Caenorhabditis elegans: one gene and its partners. The protein of the gene in region 3 purifies or fractionates together with the protein of the main gene of each other region. This does not show direct contact. Each region holds a gene or a part of one and is shown on either strand. Other genes may lie near its edges.

Region 1 (5,172 bases), on a different chromosome or scaffold from region 3:
TCAGTTTTCGGAATTCGAAGAAGAAAACAAGTGTTCGCTGCACGCCGATAATAAATGTGATTCCAACAATGAATAGAAGCTGAAAATAATAATTTTATGCTTTAAATTTACAATAAATACTTACATTTCCGATAGCTAAAAGAGCAGAATCAAGGAACATCAGCACTCCGAGAAATATGAAAAAGAAGCCGAACGTCGTTAACCCCACTCCGATTTCTGAAATGTTTCACAGTTTACATATATTTTCTGATTTTCAAACTTACGTTTTGTTGTGCTTACTTCGAAATTCATCATTTTGACTGGACCCAAGTGGTTTCTCTTTTAAACGGCTGAAAAAAATTAAATTCTCAAAAGAATCGGTCATAGAAAAACAAATAGAAGAAGATTATTGATTTTTTGAAATAAATTTGCGTTTCTTTTTAGCAAATGAAACTGATTTTATCTCGAATTGAAAAATTTAAGCGAAAAATCGGAAAATAAAACTGGAAATTCCGCGGAAATGACGTGTACGTAAAATTGCGGACCACGTGGCCGCCGTGCATTTCCGCGTGGCCTAGAAACTCGCACATGGCCGAAGTAGCGAAAATCGGCGGGAAAAAGGAAAATTTAAATTTGAATGGTAAACTTTTGAATTCGTAGTATTTTCGCTCAATTAATACGATTTTTATTGAGAAATTGGACAAAAAGTAACTATGTTGGTTGGAAGTGCCACAAAAGGCATTTTTGAGATTTCAAATCGATATTTTTTCGAACAAACAAGACTTTCCAATTATTTATTGACTATTTCCAAAGGTACAACGTATTAATAAGTAGAACATCAGTTTTATTAATCGAAATTACTTGAAATTTTAATCCAAACGTCATATGAGTAAACCGATTACAGTTATTTGGAAGCTTTCTGAAAAATATTTCAGTGTATTCGAAAATCACAAAATTTAAAAATCAAATTTCATTATTCAAAACTTGGAAAATTGACCAATAGATTGAAAAATAAATAAGAAGATAAAAATATTATTTGTTCTCCAAATTTAAAGTGGATGATTATTCAGGAACTGTTGAACGGCGTAGTACATTTGTGGAGCTCTCCATTGTGGAGCCATATGTCCAGCTCCGCGAATAGTGATGAAACTGAGCCCATCGAAAAGTGTCTTGAATCCGGCGATTTGTCTATCATACTTCCATGGAGTCTTTTTAAGTGTTCTACGAAGTCCAAGTTGATCAGAGAATTGCTGTCCCATCATAAAGTTGCAGGCCATATCAGTATCTCCATAGTACAAAAGAACTCTGACGTGGTTCTTGACGATCTTCTTGATGAATGGAGTCATATCGGTGTACTGCTTCTGGTAGGTAGTAGTCACCTTGTCACTGAAAATTTTTGTTTTGATCTCTGGGCTTGGGCTCTTTGGCTCAGGCTCACCTGCAGATATCCCATTTTCCAAGATTGAATGGAATGTGGATTGCCTTACGAACCTTTGGATTGTTCATATAGGAGAGCATCTCAGTATCGTTGAGGCATGGAACATCAGCCTTAAGTGGCTTTTGGGATTGAGATTTGTTCTGAAAGATACAAATATGAAGTGACTGCTATGGTGGTAATTATTGATCAAATTAAAAAAGTTTTAAATATGCAATTTGACCAAAAAAAATTCTATAACCTTTTTCCTATTTTAATTTTTTTTACTTGGATGGCAAAAAAATTGTTTGAATATAATCCTTGCAGGGTTTCGTTCACAAAACAATTTTCAAAGTTTTCAAAAAAAAAAACTGCTGATAATGATCTCATGACCGTGACACCTACCGTGACACTAGGTGAAAACTGAGTACTGAAAAATTTTCTGAAAAGTTTTCCAATGATATTTTTACATTTTCCCATTGCTGCTACCCCACATACTTTCAAAAATTGATAAAGGGAAGTCTTTGTTTGATTTTTCAAGAGCTCATCAAAATGGGCCATTGCTGGAGCAACTCCTCTCAACATGTGCTTCATTCTCTTGCTGTTCACTGATGGATTTGGATCACAATCTCTGTACAAATCATATGGATTCAATCCTCCGAACCACAAGAATTGGAAGATGTCCTCAACGAGAGTTGCACAGTGTCCGGTGACTTGAGTCAAATCACATGAATCAATGCATCCTCTGCAGCAATCTCTCTCAAGAGTATTCCAGATCTTCTCATCAATAAGTCCGTGTCCATAAGCAAATCTGACAGAGGTATCAATGTTAAGCTTCTCATTAACATATCCATTTCCAAGTGCCATTCCTTTCAAGTTAATTGGGAAGTCCTTTTGTCCATCAACAATTCTTGCGGTAAGAGTTGGAACATAAACTCCTCCATAAGACTCTCCCATAATGAATGTCTGATGATGACGGAATTGTGGGAATTCAGTGAAGAATTGTTTGACAGCTTCGTAGTTCTCAAGAGAAGTCAAATCATCGTTGGTTGTGATGTTTCCATCAGTGGCATACGAGTAACCAACTCCAGCTGGAGACTCAATATAGACAACTGAAGCCATTTTGTTCCATGAGTACTCGTTTTCACGAAGAGTCTTTCCATCTTCATTGGCAACATATGGTCCCATTTCATTGAGAAGTCCGTCCAAGGAAGAGCATCCTGGTCCTCCGTTGAACCAGAAGATCAGTGGGTCGTTGGATGGCTCGTTTTGGGATTCGACGAACCTGGAATAATGATTTAGGATGATTTATTAGACAAGCCGGTATGAAGGCAAGCTCGCATTCAAAAGATTTTCGTTGTGTAAGTTGTAAGATTTTCGTGTAAGATTTGTTGTGTAAGATTTTCGTTGTGTAAGCTTCTGAACCTATTTCACACCTTGAACACTGTTTCAAACAACCTTTCGATCGACGAAAAATTGAAAAGGTACAAGACTTTTTTTACTTTCATGCTAGTTTGCACTTTTTAGGCTAACTTCTGTCCTTCATACTCACCAATAATGAAGCACATGGTTATCCGAAACTTGGAAGAATCCGGAATAATGCTTGAAATTCGGCTCAAAGTCCAATCCTGGCAAATCCTTGATCTCTTCTCCACAGGTCACCCCGACGAAGAAGGCGAGAAGCAGAAGGGTTTTCATACCTGAAATTCAATGAATTAGAGGTTGAGCATGGAACATGACAAGAAAGAAAAACAGATATCTTGTGATGTTTGTCTGAGACATTGGAGAGAAGGAGGCGGAGTCTCGACTGTCCCATAGGGGCGGAGCCAGAAGAAGGCAAAGGACAATTTGAGGACAATGTGGATCTGTGAAGATTGGGGAGATGGTTGTGCACAAGATTTGAATTTGAAAAAAAAAAGATTTGATTTTGATAAGATAGAGATCAAACGACTAGTGCCATCGTGTACTCTATAAATTTCTGTGAGGCAGGGGAGAACCAGCTTCAGGAAATTTAAATTGTCTATTTTTTGTAGTCGTAGAGTACTAAATGTGGGCAAGTTTAAAGGTCTTTCTTAGCTTTCCTATTGGAAGCAGGTACTAGTTAGTTAGAGTCCGCTTTAAGGCAGGTAGGCAACAGGTGGAGTACGGAAATCTGACACATTTTTAGACTTGAAATGGCTCAAAACTATCGAATGTCGTAATGAGACCTTATGAAAAATTCTCAAAAAACGTTATTGCTCTGGCCTCTGAAATTTCTATTTTTGCCAACTTGCCAAAGTCAGAACAAGAAACGAAATATTTCCAGATTTTCCGATTTTTTATTAACGAAACTCTTTCAAAAAATTTTGCGGCGCAGTCAATTTTGGTTGTCTCATTTTTACCTGTTCAATAGAACATTTCTTCCAGAAACTTTTTTATCTTTTCTGATTTAAATTCTTTATTTCTCTCACGCCATGCTGAAGGAGCCAATATTACAACACGCAACGCGATCAACATTCAATAAATCAATTTATATCAAAAAGATTGTGGAGAAGAAAACGAGACAATCATTTTTGCAAAGAAATGAAGATAAGAGAAAATATTTGTGAGCAACGGCGGGTTTTTAAGCAGGCGAGTGATGGATTGGGGTCAATTGAATGAGGATCGGTAGAGGCTGGCACCGATCACTGTTGGCCACTGGTCGAGTCAATGCCAAACACCACAAAGTGAACTTCCGAGTTGGTGAGAATCACAAACTTCTGAAAAAAGAAAACATTTTAGGTGATCGCCAGGTGGCCAGAAACCATGAAAAAAAACGTTTAGAGTTGTGGATCCTGATTTCGTTTTAAAAAAATTGGGGCGTCAGTTCAAAGGCACAGGCTGTTTTCTGAGTGACTCTCGTCATGGATTGAATTTCCCTTATTTGTTCAATTGATATAGAAAGAGATTAATTGGCCAATTTTTTGTAAGACAAAACAAACGTTAAATGAAAGATAAATGTTTTTAGAATCTGGGACCGTGTTTGGCAGATTTTAAAAACCAATTTTTATATTCAAAATCTGATCTTCCATTTAACGTGTGTTTTGTATACCCAGAAATCATGTTATATGCTTATTATTTTCTTTGTTTCATACCTGAGAATATGTTAAAAGTAGTTTTGTGCAATGGTTCAGGTATGTTGTGAATAGTTGATCTCGATATTTTCTTCTAAAAAATTTTAGTACCGTGTAAACAAAGACTGCAACTGCATACCCATTAGGTTTCAATTTCCAAACTGAAACTACGCCGGCAGAAGTTAAGGAGTACAAATTCTCCTCGTCGCAAGCCACGTCTACTGTATATTCAGACGATCCAAAGCAAAGTTGATGAGATGGATTTCTGAAAAAAAACTGTTTCTTTAAAAATTGAAGCTCAATTAAATTGCATACTTTGGTTTATCTTTTTCCCAGACAAAACAAGTTTGAGAAAACTTATCAAAAATCATGAGCCGATCTTCTCCAAATTTTCCAATATCTCCAGTTGTGATAGTCTGAAAATATAATTGCTAATTTCCGCTAGAATTGCCAAAATGACTTTTTCTGTCTCATAGTTCTCGTAATCCAGTGGAGAATCTGATGTGAAGCTAGAGATAAACTTGTTCGATAGCACATAAATTCGATTTTCAATTACGAAGCTAGAAGAGATTGGATTCAGTAGTGGAGAGCACTCGAAAATTCTGAATATACATTTTTACAATATATCTCTGTTTCCCTATTAAAAACCAACTTTTCCTGATTCTCCAAAATAGTAACTTTTCCGGA
Region 2 (8,365 bases), on a different chromosome or scaffold from region 3:
CCTAAACTGTTCCATTTCAATTTATGAGGGAAGCAAGAAATCCGTGTAACTTTAGAAATTATCGATTTTTTGCAATTATCGATTTTTTTTTTCAAATTATCAATTTTTGTCATTTTTCAGGACTGTTTCTCCCGCTTCGTGCACACAAACGCCTACAAGGACGTGGCAAAGAAGCTGTCACTTCCACAGACATTTCGGTTCAACTGTATCCGACTGCAACCGGGCGGCCCGACAGCACAGGCGGCCGCAACCAACTGATGACGTGGCAAGCGGCACCGGCGGCGGCGGCTCGTTTCTCTCGTCGTCTCAGCCCTCCTCACCGCGCACACTCTCTCCATCTCGTCATCGCTCATTTTATTCCAGATTTCTGCGAAAATCGCTCTCTTCCAAATCACCGCATCGATCTCCGTCCCCGTCCCCGAATTCGAGCGAATCGTCGAAACCCGGCTGCTCAAACGCGCTCCATTGAGAATTTCACGCTGAAATCACTGAAAATTCAATTTTTCTGGCAAATTTCAGTGAAAACTTAGGTTAAAAAGTTGAATTTTCACATAAAATCATTGAAAATCGACGTTTTTCACAGAAAATTGGTGTTTTTTTTTTCAAATTTCTCAATAGAGCGCGCTTGCCCGGTCCCAAAGTTTCTACGAATCGCCCATCTCACGTGGTGTCAGAGTGTCTCATTTCGGTTTGATCTACGTAGATCACTACAAAAAATGCGGGAGAAGAGACGCAGAGTTCTCAACTGGGCAAAAAATTCCCGCATTTTTTGTAGATCAAACCGTTATGGGACAGCCTGGCACTATTTCCCTTTAAAAAACAAGACTGTTTTAAACCCTGAAAGACGGGTTAGCCACACCCTGATTTTCCACGTTTCCCCACTTTTTAAGCCCTAAAAATCGATATTTCCGATATTTCCCCTAATTTTATTTTGAAAAAACAAACAAACGTAGTAAATCTAGTGATGCCACGTGGACCCAATCGCCCATTATTCCCCTATATTGAATTAATTTGACCAAAAATTCCAAAAAATGAAAAATTTGATTTATTGATTTTTCCATCGCCGCTGATGCTATTGTTCAATAGAGCGCGATTGCACTTGTGCACACGTGCTGCTAGACTGTCCCATTACGGTTTGATCTACAAAAAATGCGGGAATTTTTTCGCCAAAAAAATGTGACGTCAGCAAACTCTGCGTCTCTTTTCCCGCATTTTTTGTAGATCAGAGTAGATAAAGCCGAAATGGGGCACCCTAAGTTCCTGACACCACGTGCTTGCATAGGTCAAAAGCGCTCCGTCGCACTTAATTTTTCAGGAAATTTTTTTTGGGTTACAGTTGAAAATGGTTCTCTCCGATAGTTTAACCTGGAAAAAAGTTTTGAAATTGGGCGCCAAAATGTAATTTTTGGGCGTAAATAAATAGATTTGACGGGCGGTATTCACAATTATCCGGGATCAAATGACATGTGGCAATATGGAAATTAGGGGAAAACAAAAGAATTTCAGAAAGATTGAGATTTTTTAAAAGAATATCAGAAAAAAAATTAGAAATGTTTTTTTTTCAATCAGAAAAATCAGGATTTTTTGTAGAATTCTAAAAATTAAGGCTTTTCTGAAAATTTCAGAAAAAAAAATAATTTTTTGCTTGAAGAATTCATAAAAATCTAGATTTTTCTAAAATTTTTCAAACAAAAAAATTTTTTTCTGAAATTTTTAGAAAAGCCTTAATTTTAAGAATTTTACAAAAAAAACCTGATTTTTCTGAAAAAAAATTTTTTTCTGAAATTCTGCATTTTTTTTGATTTTTCTGCGAATTTTACAACAAAAAAAATAGTTTTTTAAACAATTTTCTACAAAAATTCTAAAATTTTCCAAAAAAAAAATCTAATTTTCTGAGATTTTTTAAAAAAGCTCAATTTTCTTAAATTCTTTGAAAAAATTACAAAAAAAAAGACAAATGTTCTTCTTTTCAGCGAATCTCCTTCAGAACCTTCTGAGCTTCAGCCATCTCCATCTCGGCGTCCAACTTGAGCTTCTCGGCGAGCTCTTCCTTCGTGTAAATGTCCAAAATGGAGAATCTGGCGACGATCTCGTGGCGTTTTCGAGTTTTATCCTCCTCGATTTGAATTTTTCGCGCCAATTCTGCCGCTTCTTGATCTACTTTTGTCTCCTGCTTTGGAGCAACCTTCTTCGCTGGCTCCGGCTCCTTTTTTGGCTCCGCATTCTTATTGGCTTTATGACAGGGTGGCTGTGGTGGCTGTGGCCACTCGTTTTTTGGAATAACCGGCCATCCACCAATTGGCATCAGGCCTGCTCGAAGATTGGATTCTTTGAAGTGCTCCTCGAGCAGTTTTCTCGTTTGTGGTGTAATAATGTCCGGGTGCATTTGCATGATTTCGAATCTGGAAAAAACATTTTTTGAATTTTTGGCGGGAAAATCGATTTTCGAGCATATTTTTGAATTTTTAGGTAAAAAATCGATTTTTAAAAAAAAATTTTTAGAAAAATCCGAATTTGTATCGTCCATTTTATGGGCGTGATTTTTAGAGGTTCCGCCCAATTTTTTAAACGATTTTTTGAAAAATTTCAGAAAAATGAGAATTTTTAAAATTTATTTCTACAAAACTTCAGATTTTTTTATAGGATTTCGGAAAAAAAAATTTTTTTGGGATTTCAGAAAAATATGGTTTTTATACAAGAATTTCTTAAAAATCGAGAAGAAAGAATTTCAGAAAAAATTAAGATTATTAAAAAATTAGAAAAAAACATTTTTTGCCGAATTTATTTTTTATAAAAAATTATGCCTACTATCAGAAAAACAAAAAAAAATTTTGAAAAATTTCATAAAAATCTAGATTTTTCAAAGAATTTTGGAAAAATTTCAATTTTTTTCCATTTTTCAGAAAAAAAACATAATTTTTTGTAGAATTTCAAATTTTTTTTTTTTGAAAATTTGCAGAAAACTCAACAAAAATAATTTGATTTTTGGAAAAATCATCACTTTTTGTAAAATTTCCGAAAGAGGTGAGATTTTTTAAAGAAATTCAGAAAAATAAAGATTTCTGTAGAAAATTAGAAGAAAACACGATTTTTTGGAGAATTTATAAAAAAATTAATTATTTTTAATATCAGAAAAATTAAGTTTTTTAGTAAAATTTTAGAAAATTTTTTTTGGATTTTTCAGTTTTTCTCGGACAATTTTCAGGGGGAAATTGAACAAAAATTGCAAATTTCCGCACAATTCCAGCCAAATATCCAAAATTCAGCAGTTTTAAGGTAAAAAAAGCCCATTTTTTTCTCAATTTTCCATCGAAAAAAAACCTCCATACTTGATCATTTTCATAGTTTCCTCATAGAACTCCTTCGTTTCTTCACTATCATCGGCCCGATCCACAAATCTTGAACGTCCATCCAGGAGAGTATAGATTTTAAGAATACTATTCTTAATTTCTTCAGTAATTTCATCGATTCCCTGGAGATCTGCAAAAAAAACCGGGGGGTTTTTTTTGACTGAAAATCGTGATTTGGGATTTTTTTTTTTGGCAATTTTAAGGCTGAAAAATTGAAATTTTCACAAAGATTTTGATTTTCAAAACCCAAATTTTCTTGAAAAATAAAGAAAATTTGGAAAAAAAGAAAAGAAAATCAAAATCTTTGTGAAAAATACAATTTTCCAGTCGGGAAATTGCTTTAAAACATGCCTATGGGGTCACAATGACCGAATATCATGATTTAAAAAATTCCAAAAATTCAAAAAAATTTTCTAGATTTTATATGATTTTTTGAAAATTGAAAAAATCACAGTTTTCCCCAATTTCTATTTGAATTTCCGCCAATTGGATTTGTTCGATGGAGCGCGCTTGCATTATTTTCATTAATTTATTTTATTTATTCTCATTATTTCACTGATTTTCTTCAATTTTTTTGTTGTGTTTTTATCGGAAACTGAATTTTTAAAAACAAGATAAACGCAGAATTTTTGTTAAAAATTCATTGAAAATGCGTAAAACTGTAAAATATACTATTTTCAAGTTTTAGGAATTTTCAGTGACTTTTTAACAAATATTCTGCATTCATCTTGTTTTTAAAGATTCAATTTCCATTAAAAACACAAAAAAAAATGAAGAAAATCAGTGAAATAATGAGAATAAATAAAATAAATAAATAAAAATAATGCAAGCGCGCTCCAACGAACGAATCCAATTGGCGGAAATCCAAATAGGAATTAGGTGAAAAACTGAGATTTTTTTAATTTTCAAAAAAAAAAATCATATAAAATTCAGAAAAATTTTTGAATTTTGGAATTTTTTAATCATGATATTCGATCATTGTGACCCCATAGGCATGTTTTAAAGCAATTTCCCGACTGGAAAATTGTATTTTTCACAAAGATTTTGATTTTAAAAAACCAAATTTTCTTGAAAATTAAGAAAAAAGGGATTTTTTCTTTTTTTTTCCATTTTGATTGAAAATTTCCGCAATTTCCGTACCAGTAAGTGTATACAGGAAACTGACGATCATACGGCCAGCCTTTACAGCATTTTTATGGTCTTTCGTGCTCTGAATAAGCTTCTCAGTGGCCGTGAGCCCATTCTTGGCCTGAAACTTCAAATAAGCCGGCAAGTGAGACCGAACGATGGAGGAAATCGCCGAGAGCAGTGCTGAAAGAATTCGGGGGCTCAGTTCGGCTTGACGTTTGAGCAGCTTCATGTATGCTGTGAAAAGTGGAGAATCGGCGATTGCCTGTTGGAATTCCGGGCGGTTTTCGGCGAGTTGTGGGATGAGACGGAGGTAGAGGAGACGCAGATCTTCGTCTGGTGACATCTGGAAAAAAAATTTAAATTTTTATTCAAACTACACTTTGTGGGGAAATTGCTTTAAAACATGCCTATGGGGTCACGATGACCAAATATCATAGTAAAAAATTCAAAAAAATTTTCTAGATTTTATATGATTTTTTGAAAATTGAAAAAATCTCAGTTTTCCACCTAATTCCCTATTTGAATTTCCGCCAATTGAATTTGTTCGATGGAGCGCGCTTGCATTATTTTAATTAATTTATTTTATTTATTGTCATTTTTTGGGGTTTTTTAATCGGAAAGAGAAAGAAATTAACAAGAAAAATGCAAATTGTTCATTAAAAAATCACTGAAAATGCCAACGACCACGCGCCTTAGGAAAAAAAATAGGAATTTTCAGTTATTTTTTAATGAACAACTTGAATTAACATTTTTCTTGTTTATTTTTTTTAATTTTTTACTGTGATATTAGGTCATTGTGACCCCATAGGCATGTTTTAAAGCAATTTTCCCACGAAGTGGGAAAAGCGTCAGCACAGAAATTGATTTAAAACACGCATATGGTACCACAATGACCGAATATCATGGTTAAAAAAATCAAAAAAATTTTCTAGATTTTATATGATTTTTTGAAAATTGAAAAACTCTCAGTTTTCCCCTAATTCCTATTTGAATTTCCGCCAATTTGATTCGTTCGATGGAGCGCGCTTGCACGTTTTTAAATTTATTTATTTTAATTTTTTGTTATTTCCACCGATTTTTAATGCTTTCGGTGTATTTTTGCTCGAATTTTAGAGAAAAAGTCAAAATAAATGCAAATTTTCGATTAAAAAGCACGCTTACAGGCGTAAAAATTACAAAGTAACGATTTTAAACGATTTCAAACCTGAATTAATTCATTTCACAGATTTACGCCTGTCAGCGTGCTTTTTAATCGAAAATTTGAATTTATCTTGGTTTTTTCTTCAAATTTCAAGCAAAAATACACTGATATGAGAAATAAATAAAATAAATAAATAAATTTAAAAACGTGCAAGCGCGCTCCAACGAACGAATCCAATTGGTGGTAATTCAAATAGGAATAAGGGGAAAATTGAGATTTTAATCATATAAAATCTAGAAACATTTTTTTTATTTTTTCTCATGATATTCGGTCATTGTGACTCCATAGGCATGTTTTAAAGCAATTTTTCACTTTTTTTTGCTTAAATACGCACAGTGAGATTGGCGAGAGCCTTGAGGCCGCCCTCAGCAATGAAATGCTCCGAGAAGTTGCCCATTATAAGGTAATCATCAAGCTGATCGGCCAATTCCTTCGCCGCAGCCAACAACGCCGGGGTCATAACGACCTTCTCCGGGTTCTCATCGCCGAAATGGAAGAATTTTTGAATGACGGACGGTCCCTGCTCCATATCTCCACCGAATGAGTGAGTCATCGCTTTTTGGAGAAATTCGAGATTCTGGAAATAATTAAAACTAAAAATTTAAATTTAAAAATCAATTATCACCTCACGAGAGTACACTGGAGCGGTATCTTCCGAGGCTTCTGCCGATTTTTCCGTATTTTTTGAACTGTGGGCGGTTGCCATGTCGAGAAGCTTCTTCCACGCGATATCTTCAGCAGATGCAGCCATTTTTACTGAAAAAAAACGACATTTTTGGGATTATTTTGAAGAAAAACGTGATAAAAAGCTTTTTAAAAAGCGAGATTTTCGATTTTCCCGCTGAAAAATCGACAGAAAATTACGGTTTTTATGTTAAAATGAACCTAATTTTTCATATTTAACGATTTCAAAAGAATTTTTCAAGAATTCCAGAAAGATTCCGCAAAAACATGCTGAAAACATTCGAGAAAAATCGGGAAATTAATTCAAAAAATGAGTGATGGCCTAGAATTGTTATCAATGGAGCGTGGTTGTTGCAGTTGGGAAGTTAGTCCCTGACAATTTGATTTAATTATGATTGATTTTAAAAGAGAAAAACAGGCCGAAATTCAAGAATTCGAGGTAAACCTGAATGCAGAAAGACAAATTCAACCCTGAAGGAGTGGTTCAATGATAATCTAACAGGAAAACGCATCAATTCAAGATTTACTCGCTTTCGTTACACCCGTAGACTCCTCTTTTCCTATTGCAATCAAGCAGAATATGGGGGTATAGCTCAGGGGTAGAGCGCTCGCTTTGCATGCGAGAAGTCTGGGGTTCGATTCCCCATACCTCCAAGTAATCTTTTTTGGATTTATATAGTAAAAATTTGAAGGTTTTGATTTTGGTTTTGACCGCTTGAAGTGGACGCTGGTTTTACTTTTTAAAACTTTGCAAGAGCTTATCTATTGAAATTTGTTGAGGAGTTGTTCACAGTCGATTCATTCAATTTTCCAATGATTAAACCATTATTTTTCGCTTGGAAAACCTAACAAAAACTATTTCCACAAAACCCCTATTTGAAAAACCACCCTTTTCACAAACTGCTAAACAACACGCGCCACCGAAATATCGGAGCGTCGTTGTCTCACATTTTATTTGTCGTCGAATTTATTTTCTGCCGGTTTTTAATCGATTTTTCGGGATTTTATTGATTTTTTCTTATTTTTCTTTATTGAAATATTGATAAAATACGTTATTTTTCACCTATAATTCACGTTTAATAGGCGTTAAAGTGAAAGTTATTGAAAATGAATTAAATGAAAATTACGTGGATTTTAAGATTTTTAGAGTCAGTTCTTCATTTTTTCATCTGAAATTTAGTTTCTATAGGAAAATAATGATTTTTCAATAAAAAATCCCTAAAATTGCTGATTTTCCCTTAATTTCTCTTGATTTTCTGTATTTCTCCGAGTTTTCTTTTAAAAAATGCCAGTTTTTTTGCAGAATGGGTACCTTCACCGCCACATATTTCCTCAAGAACGCTTTTTGGGACAAAAGAGGCCTTTGGACTGCCACGTTGGCCGTCGCCTATTTCGCCCGCTGCTGGGAGAGCGCCGGATACAATAAGGCCGAGATGATGAAGGTAAGCGTGCTGAAATCGTGCTGAAAATTCAATTTTTAGCATATTTTAACCTAAAAATCCATAAAACCAATTGATTTTTGTTTCAGGGTCACTCAAAAATGTACGCGGATCGACTCAAGCAGCTTCCAGCACACACCGACGCCTGGAAATACTGAAAATCCCGCCGACTAGATGCTTAATTTAGCGATTTCCTGTGTTTTTTCTCGATTTTTAGTCATAAAGAAAAATTTTAAACATTTTATTATGCTTCAGCACATTCACAAATGCTTTTCTCCGAGCAAATGACACGTTGAGTGGGGCAAAACTGAAAATTTTAGATCGAAACTTGCTAAAATCGGATGAAAGCACTCACCGAGTAGAAAAGAATATTGCATAGAGATTCCCAGCAAAAACCGAATGAAATTGTAGGCGTTATCATGAGGAAAATTGCAAAAATAGATAAAACAGCGGAGAAATTTATTTCCCGAGTGTTTTTCTAGCAGGAAATGAATGTTTAAAGCAATTTTTCACGTTATATTCAAGGGAATGTTTGTTTTCAAAAAGAAATTCTTTGAAAA
Region 3 (5,215 bases):
TCTCTTCGATTGAGCACAATACTCTCTAATCTAGCTACTGATGGGCTCTGTCGACATCTCCGTTGTTGCCGGAAATTGATCAATCTCAGAGGCATCGGTTAGTGGCTTTGGGCAACAGAGAAGAAGTTTTTTGAGAAGGTTTCGATGTTTTAAAAGTTGTTCGCTTTTTTCGCACACTTTTTTTTATCGAAAAAGCGAAAAAGAATTGTTTTGTCCAAAAGTACAAAAAAAACTGAAAAATCTACAGCCCTGCCACAAAGTGTTTAGATAGCAAAGAGATATGAGAGTGTGAGCCCTCTCTGAATAATTATTTTGTTTTGGGAGTGAGAGCACTGAGCAGACGAGACTTGCTCTCGCTGCTTACAGCTGGAAATCACGAGAGCCCTGCCGCCTATCCCCGCCGAAAGCAGAGCAAAGCTTTTTGAACTATAATTTCTGAAACTCTCGAAACAAACCTCCATTCTCGTGTTTTTCCTTTCACCGTTTTCTTCCTTTTCGTGTGGCGTCAAATATGTTCTGCCACTCACCATTGACCTGAATCCTTCAATTTTTGTTCGAATTATTCATAAACTTTACCGAAATATACTACTTTTTGGAATTGTTCTACAAAAAAAGATTCAGAAACAAATATAGACTTGCCAGGTAAAACAATTTATTTCAAGATGTCAATTTAAATGTTTTTCAAACATGTAAAAGAGAGCCAGAGAATAAAATAGGAGTTGTTGGATGAAAAATCTCGTCAGTCGAGTTTCAATTAGAAAAAAAGCTTACGAAGATCAATTGCGATTCAAGTACTCTTAAATATTTACTCAGCCAGGGGTGAGCATTGAGAGAGTGGGAGAAAAGCATGATTCTACGTTGAAAAAAGCTCATTTCTAAAAGTCGACGTAGAGAAGTTTTGAATTTTTTAGAAAACAATTCAGGAGGTAATAAGATAAATAAATTGTCAACAGTGGGGATGGTTATATTTTAATACAAACAGTTTGGTTGTAACTCAAATACTTAAAAAAAATATATAATGATGTGGGAAGAGAGGATGAAAAAAAATTGAGATGGGAAGAAGTTGAGATTGATTTAGAAAAGACCTCATTCACAGAACGTAGAAAAATAGCAATTTTTGGAAAAATGAAAATGCAACCATAGGAGTCTACCATCCTACTTTTGAAAATTGGCAATAAGAAGTGGAGAATGAGATATAGAAACACCAGTACATAACAAACTTCCTAAGCCATTTAGGCTTCAACTTCCTCCGATGCGTCCATTTCTTCTCCCTCATCATCTTCGTCGTCGGCAGCAGCTCTAGCAGGTGCTCCTCTGGCCTTCTTTCTTGGAGAAACATCTTCGTCGCTTTTGTCATCGTATTCGATTTCATCCTCATTCGACTCATCGGAAGCATCCTGAAAAAGAAGATAATTTTGAGAATATTATTATATTCAAACGATCGATTACCTTTGCAGATCTCTTTGTGGCGGCAGCACGAGTTGGTCTGTTGCTGCTTGGTGGACGTCCTCTTCCGCGAGTAGAAGGAGCACCTTTCTTCTTCTTTCCGAAGTCAACGTCATCTTCATCCGATGGTGCGCCGTCAGAATCCGAGACGTACTTTGTGATCTTGCCCCGTGGGGGCTTGCGTCCCTGGAAAAATGAATATTTATATAGACCATAAGCACAAAGAAACTCACTCTGAAAAGTTTTCCAGGAATTTCATCGTCGACTTCGGCGAGAACAGTGCTTGTGTCAGAGTTTGCGTAATCGATTCGGTTCGATGTTGAACGACGTGGTCTGCTGGCTGCGATTGACTCTGGGTTAACCGCCGCCTTCGGCTTTGCAGCCCTCTTTTTCTCAGAAGCCGCAGCCTTTGGAGTCGCATTTGGTCCTGGTGGTCTTCCGCGTCCTCTTCCACGTCCACGCCCAGAAGGTGTAGCAACTGGAGCTACAGTAGTCTCGGCAACTTTCTCTTCAGCAGCTTCTGATTCCTCGTCTGCGGCAGGAGCTTCAGCGGCATCCTTCTTTTCTTCGGTATTAACAACTGGCTCATCTTTCTTTTCTTCGGAAGAAGCTGGAGCTTCTTCTTTTTTGTCTTCGACGACTGGTGTCTCTGGAACTTCCTTTTTCTCTTCAACTACTGCAGCAGGTTCTTTCTTCTCTTCAGCTGCGACCACCTCTTCCGATTTTTTTTCTTCCGGTGCTGGTGCCTCTTCTGATTTCTTCTCTTCGGTGACTACAGGCTCAGGCGCATCCTCTTTCTTCTCTTCTACAACTGGTTCCTCTTTAGCCTGAAAAATCTTAATTTAACTTGGCTTGGCAAACATCAACTCTCTAGAAAAGTAAACAACTAACAGCTCTCATTCTTTCCAATTTATAATGCATATAATGTGGAAAAACCTTTTCTTACTTTCTTTCTTCGAAATTTAATATATTTTTGAGCTTTTCGCTTCCATCGCCTCATTGTTGCTATGGATACAACATTGCTCGCGCGCAGCAAGTCGTAAAATACGTTTAATTAAAAAGTTATACTCTGTCGTTTCTTGAACTAACTGATAAATACATATTTAGAAATGACGTAAACAAATTTCATACTTGATATTTAAATTTCAAAAAAAACTAACCGCCTCGACGGCAACTTCTGCAGGTTCAGCTGGAGCATCATCTGTTTTCTCATCCTTCTGACTTTCGGTGACTTGAGCAGCAGGGGTCTCTGATGTAGTGGCTGGCTCTTCCGACACTTTAGCTTCAACGACTGGCTGAAAAGTAAAGAATTATAAAAACTGCATCTGATCCTCATAACCGAACCTCTTCTGTTTTCTTCTCAATGTTCGTGTCGCCATTTTCGTGGGTAGAACTACCGTTGATTTCGACTGCTGCGCTTTCATCTTTCTTTGCTGAAAATTAAGTTTAGTTTCAAAAAATGGCATTGTTTTAGTTTACCTTCAAGGGAATCAGCAATAACCTTTTCAGCTTTGGTTTCCTGGTTTGAAACCTCGGGTATGGTTGCAGTTTCGGCCGACATGACTGAAAAATGATGATGTGAGCAAAAAAGCATAACACGAAAAGAGATAATAATCGTTAAAATAAGGAAAAATGTAGGTACGATTCGAAAAGAAAACTGTGGATAATATTTGCATGCAATTTCAAAGCGATCATACTGTATGTACTCAACAAACCTTAATAATTTGATGCTGAATAATTGATTTTCTACGACAATATTAGTGATTTAGAGCTAAGGTAAAGAAATAACTACCATCTTTGTTTGAAAAACCTATCTCTACTGAATAAAACTTAATTTCAAAGCTGTGAAATACAAATTTAGGAATTTAGGAAAATTTAGGACCATTCGTCAACCTAAATGCTTAAAATTTACATATTTTTTAATGAATATTTTAGAAAAAAACGAGTATTGTTCTAAAAAATAAACATTCATTTATTTGGCGCACTAATTTAGTCGAATCAAGAGTGTCAAAATTCGAAATTTATTTTGGCGGGAGGTTTTGCAATGGTGACCGCGACGCAGGGTAAACGCGTCGCGTGTCTGCGTAGCGACTCTGCTCATCATTGTGTGCGATACTCAGCCATTGATGCCGTTGCCGATTTATGGTCTCTTCTCTGCCGCAACTCTTCCCTGTTTCCCCCCTCCAATCGCTGTTTTTTCGATCAAAAAGTGATCGACTCGAACACAAATTTTATACAATTCACGTGACAACTCTCTTCCTCGATTACAGATTTTTTTTTCGTGTTTTTACATTCTCACCGATCTTACTTTTATCTTCATTTCTATTTGAACAACTTTCAGATGGCTCCGCTATTTCCCGATTTCCGCAAGATGCGAAAAAGGATGAAGCGTTCGCTCAACTACGGAACAAAACAGCCGGCGTCACTGAATTATCCACTATCTCGTAAGTTAAAAAAAAAATGTCAAAATAAAAAAGTTTATTCATTGAAATATAAATTTTTCTCAAAATGTTTCAGCTTTTGAACATTATTTAATCAAATAAAACAATGCTGCGGTACGAAAATAACCATAGTTTAAAATTTTACAGAACTTGTGGTAGACTATTTCGACAAAACATCCACCTTCGATTACATGGAACCTAACACATCGGCAATGATTTCAAAATGTGGCTACGCTGACCCGTGCACACTCGTAGTCGCCCTTGTCTATTTGGATCGTCTACGAGTTCAGAAAAAGGCTTTTTTCGAATCTACTGACCCGGTTTCCCTGTATGTACCTGCTCTCGTTCTCGCCTCGAAGTATATGCACGATGCTGATACCTACGACCGCGTTTCTAACTCAGAATGGGCTGAATCACTGAAAATGACACCGGAAGATCTGAATGCGAAGGAATGGAATTTAGTAAAAAATCTCGTATGTTTTTTTTTTCATCCGCAAGTTTTCATCAATGAAAATTTTTTTTCAGGATTGGAACGTAGCTGTGAAGAACGACGAATTTGAAAATTATCTAGACAATATGGAGAAATGGGTGGCTGGATCATTTGTAGAGAAGAACGGGTTTATGACATACAATGAGCTTTTGCAATTGGTGAGATATCTTTATTTTATAAATCACTGAAAAATTGAAATAATGTAGGAAAAAATACTCACATTCTGGTTTTTCTACATAAAATATAAAAAAATTTTGATTGACAAATTTGATTTTTTTTTCAATTTTTTTTTTCGGAAAACCTAATCTTTAATATCGTTATTTCATTATTTTCAGTCGTCAATGGTTCCTATTATGGACATCGTCAAGCAATTGATTGAATTCATCAGCTCCACATCTCTTATCTACTGCTTGACTCTCGCGTTGATGTCGACTACCTTGTCCACTGTTTCCGAGCCATCGACCTCAGCTGACGTCACTTCACCAAAAGACAACAATCAGACTTTCTCGCCAGTCTTCCTGTCGCCACGAACCAGATCCCATCCTAGCACCACCGAGTTTGGTTTCGAATTCGATGAAAACGAGTGGACAGTCGAAGAAGACGTCGAGTTCGAGAAGGAGAATGGGACATCAACCGATTTATGTCCATTTGAATCTGCTCGCCGAGCCATCGATAAATTTCGACTCGCCCTTTCCCCATATCTCTCGTGTTACCGCCAGAGTTTTGAAATATTCATAAAATAGTCGTTTTCACCATTATGTAATCAAAACGTATGTGCCTTGATAATTGTGAGTAATAAGTCCCCACCCAGTTCAATTTTAATTTTTACCCCCTTATG

What was found. The genes of interacting proteins can lie anywhere in the genome.
Region 1: the proteins of attf-2 (region 3) and ctsa-1.1 fractionate together in Caenorhabditis elegans (co-fractionation; one large-scale study listed by BioGRID). This does not show direct contact.
Region 2: the proteins of attf-2 (region 3) and Y38E10A.22 purify together in Caenorhabditis elegans (affinity purification with mass spectrometry, with the first as the bait; one large-scale study listed by BioGRID). This does not show direct contact.

What each region holds. Positions count from the first base shown.
Region 1 is NC_003280.10:4,735,569-4,740,740, reverse strand, and holds ctsa-1.1 (Serine carboxypeptidase ctsa-1.1), read right to left. Parts: upstream 3,094-5,172; 5' UTR 3,092-3,093; coding exon 2,946-3,091; intron 2,679-2,945; coding exon 1,892-2,678; intron 1,558-1,891; coding exon 1,418-1,557; intron 1,366-1,417; coding exon 1,029-1,365; 3' UTR 939-1,028; downstream 1-938. Other genes in the region: eas-1 (putative Golgi transport protein 1), read right to left, coding at 1-79, 125-216, 264-294; F41C3.7 (WD_REPEATS_REGION domain-containing protein), read right to left, coding at 4,057-4,131, 4,507-4,579, 4,625-4,750, 4,801-4,901, 4,946-5,087, 5,138-5,172.
Region 2 is NC_003280.10:12,671,366-12,679,730, forward strand, and holds Y38E10A.22 (Armadillo-type protein), read right to left. Parts: upstream 6,439-8,365; 5' UTR 6,434-6,438; coding exon 6,308-6,433; intron 6,260-6,307; coding exon 6,017-6,259; coding exon of another isoform or gene 6,005-6,016; exon of another isoform or gene 5,838-6,004; intron 4,825-5,837; coding exon 4,491-4,824; intron 3,481-4,490; coding exon 3,330-3,480; intron 2,403-3,329; coding exon 1,970-2,402; 3' UTR 905-1,969; downstream 1-904. Other genes in the region: rgs-4 (RGS domain-containing protein), read left to right, coding at 121-258; Y38E10A.24 (Complex I-B12), read left to right, coding at 7,671-7,808, 7,895-7,963; Y38E10A.33 (Nodule Cysteine-Rich (NCR) secreted peptide), read right to left, coding at 8,050-8,112, 8,161-8,226.
Region 3 is NC_003283.11:7,193,129-7,198,343, forward strand, and holds attf-2 (AT hook Transcription Factor family), read right to left. Parts: upstream 3,010-5,215; 5' UTR 3,008-3,009; coding exon 2,926-3,007; intron 2,880-2,925; coding exon 2,791-2,879; intron 2,742-2,790; coding exon 2,607-2,741; intron 2,274-2,606; coding exon 1,680-2,273; intron 1,633-1,679; coding exon 1,450-1,632; intron 1,398-1,449; coding exon 1,233-1,397; 3' UTR 638-1,232; downstream 1-637. Other genes in the region: putative phospholipase D F09G2.8, read right to left, coding at 1-95; F09G2.2 (Protein CNPPD1), read left to right, coding at 3,788-3,890, 4,035-4,360, 4,413-4,535, 4,713-5,120.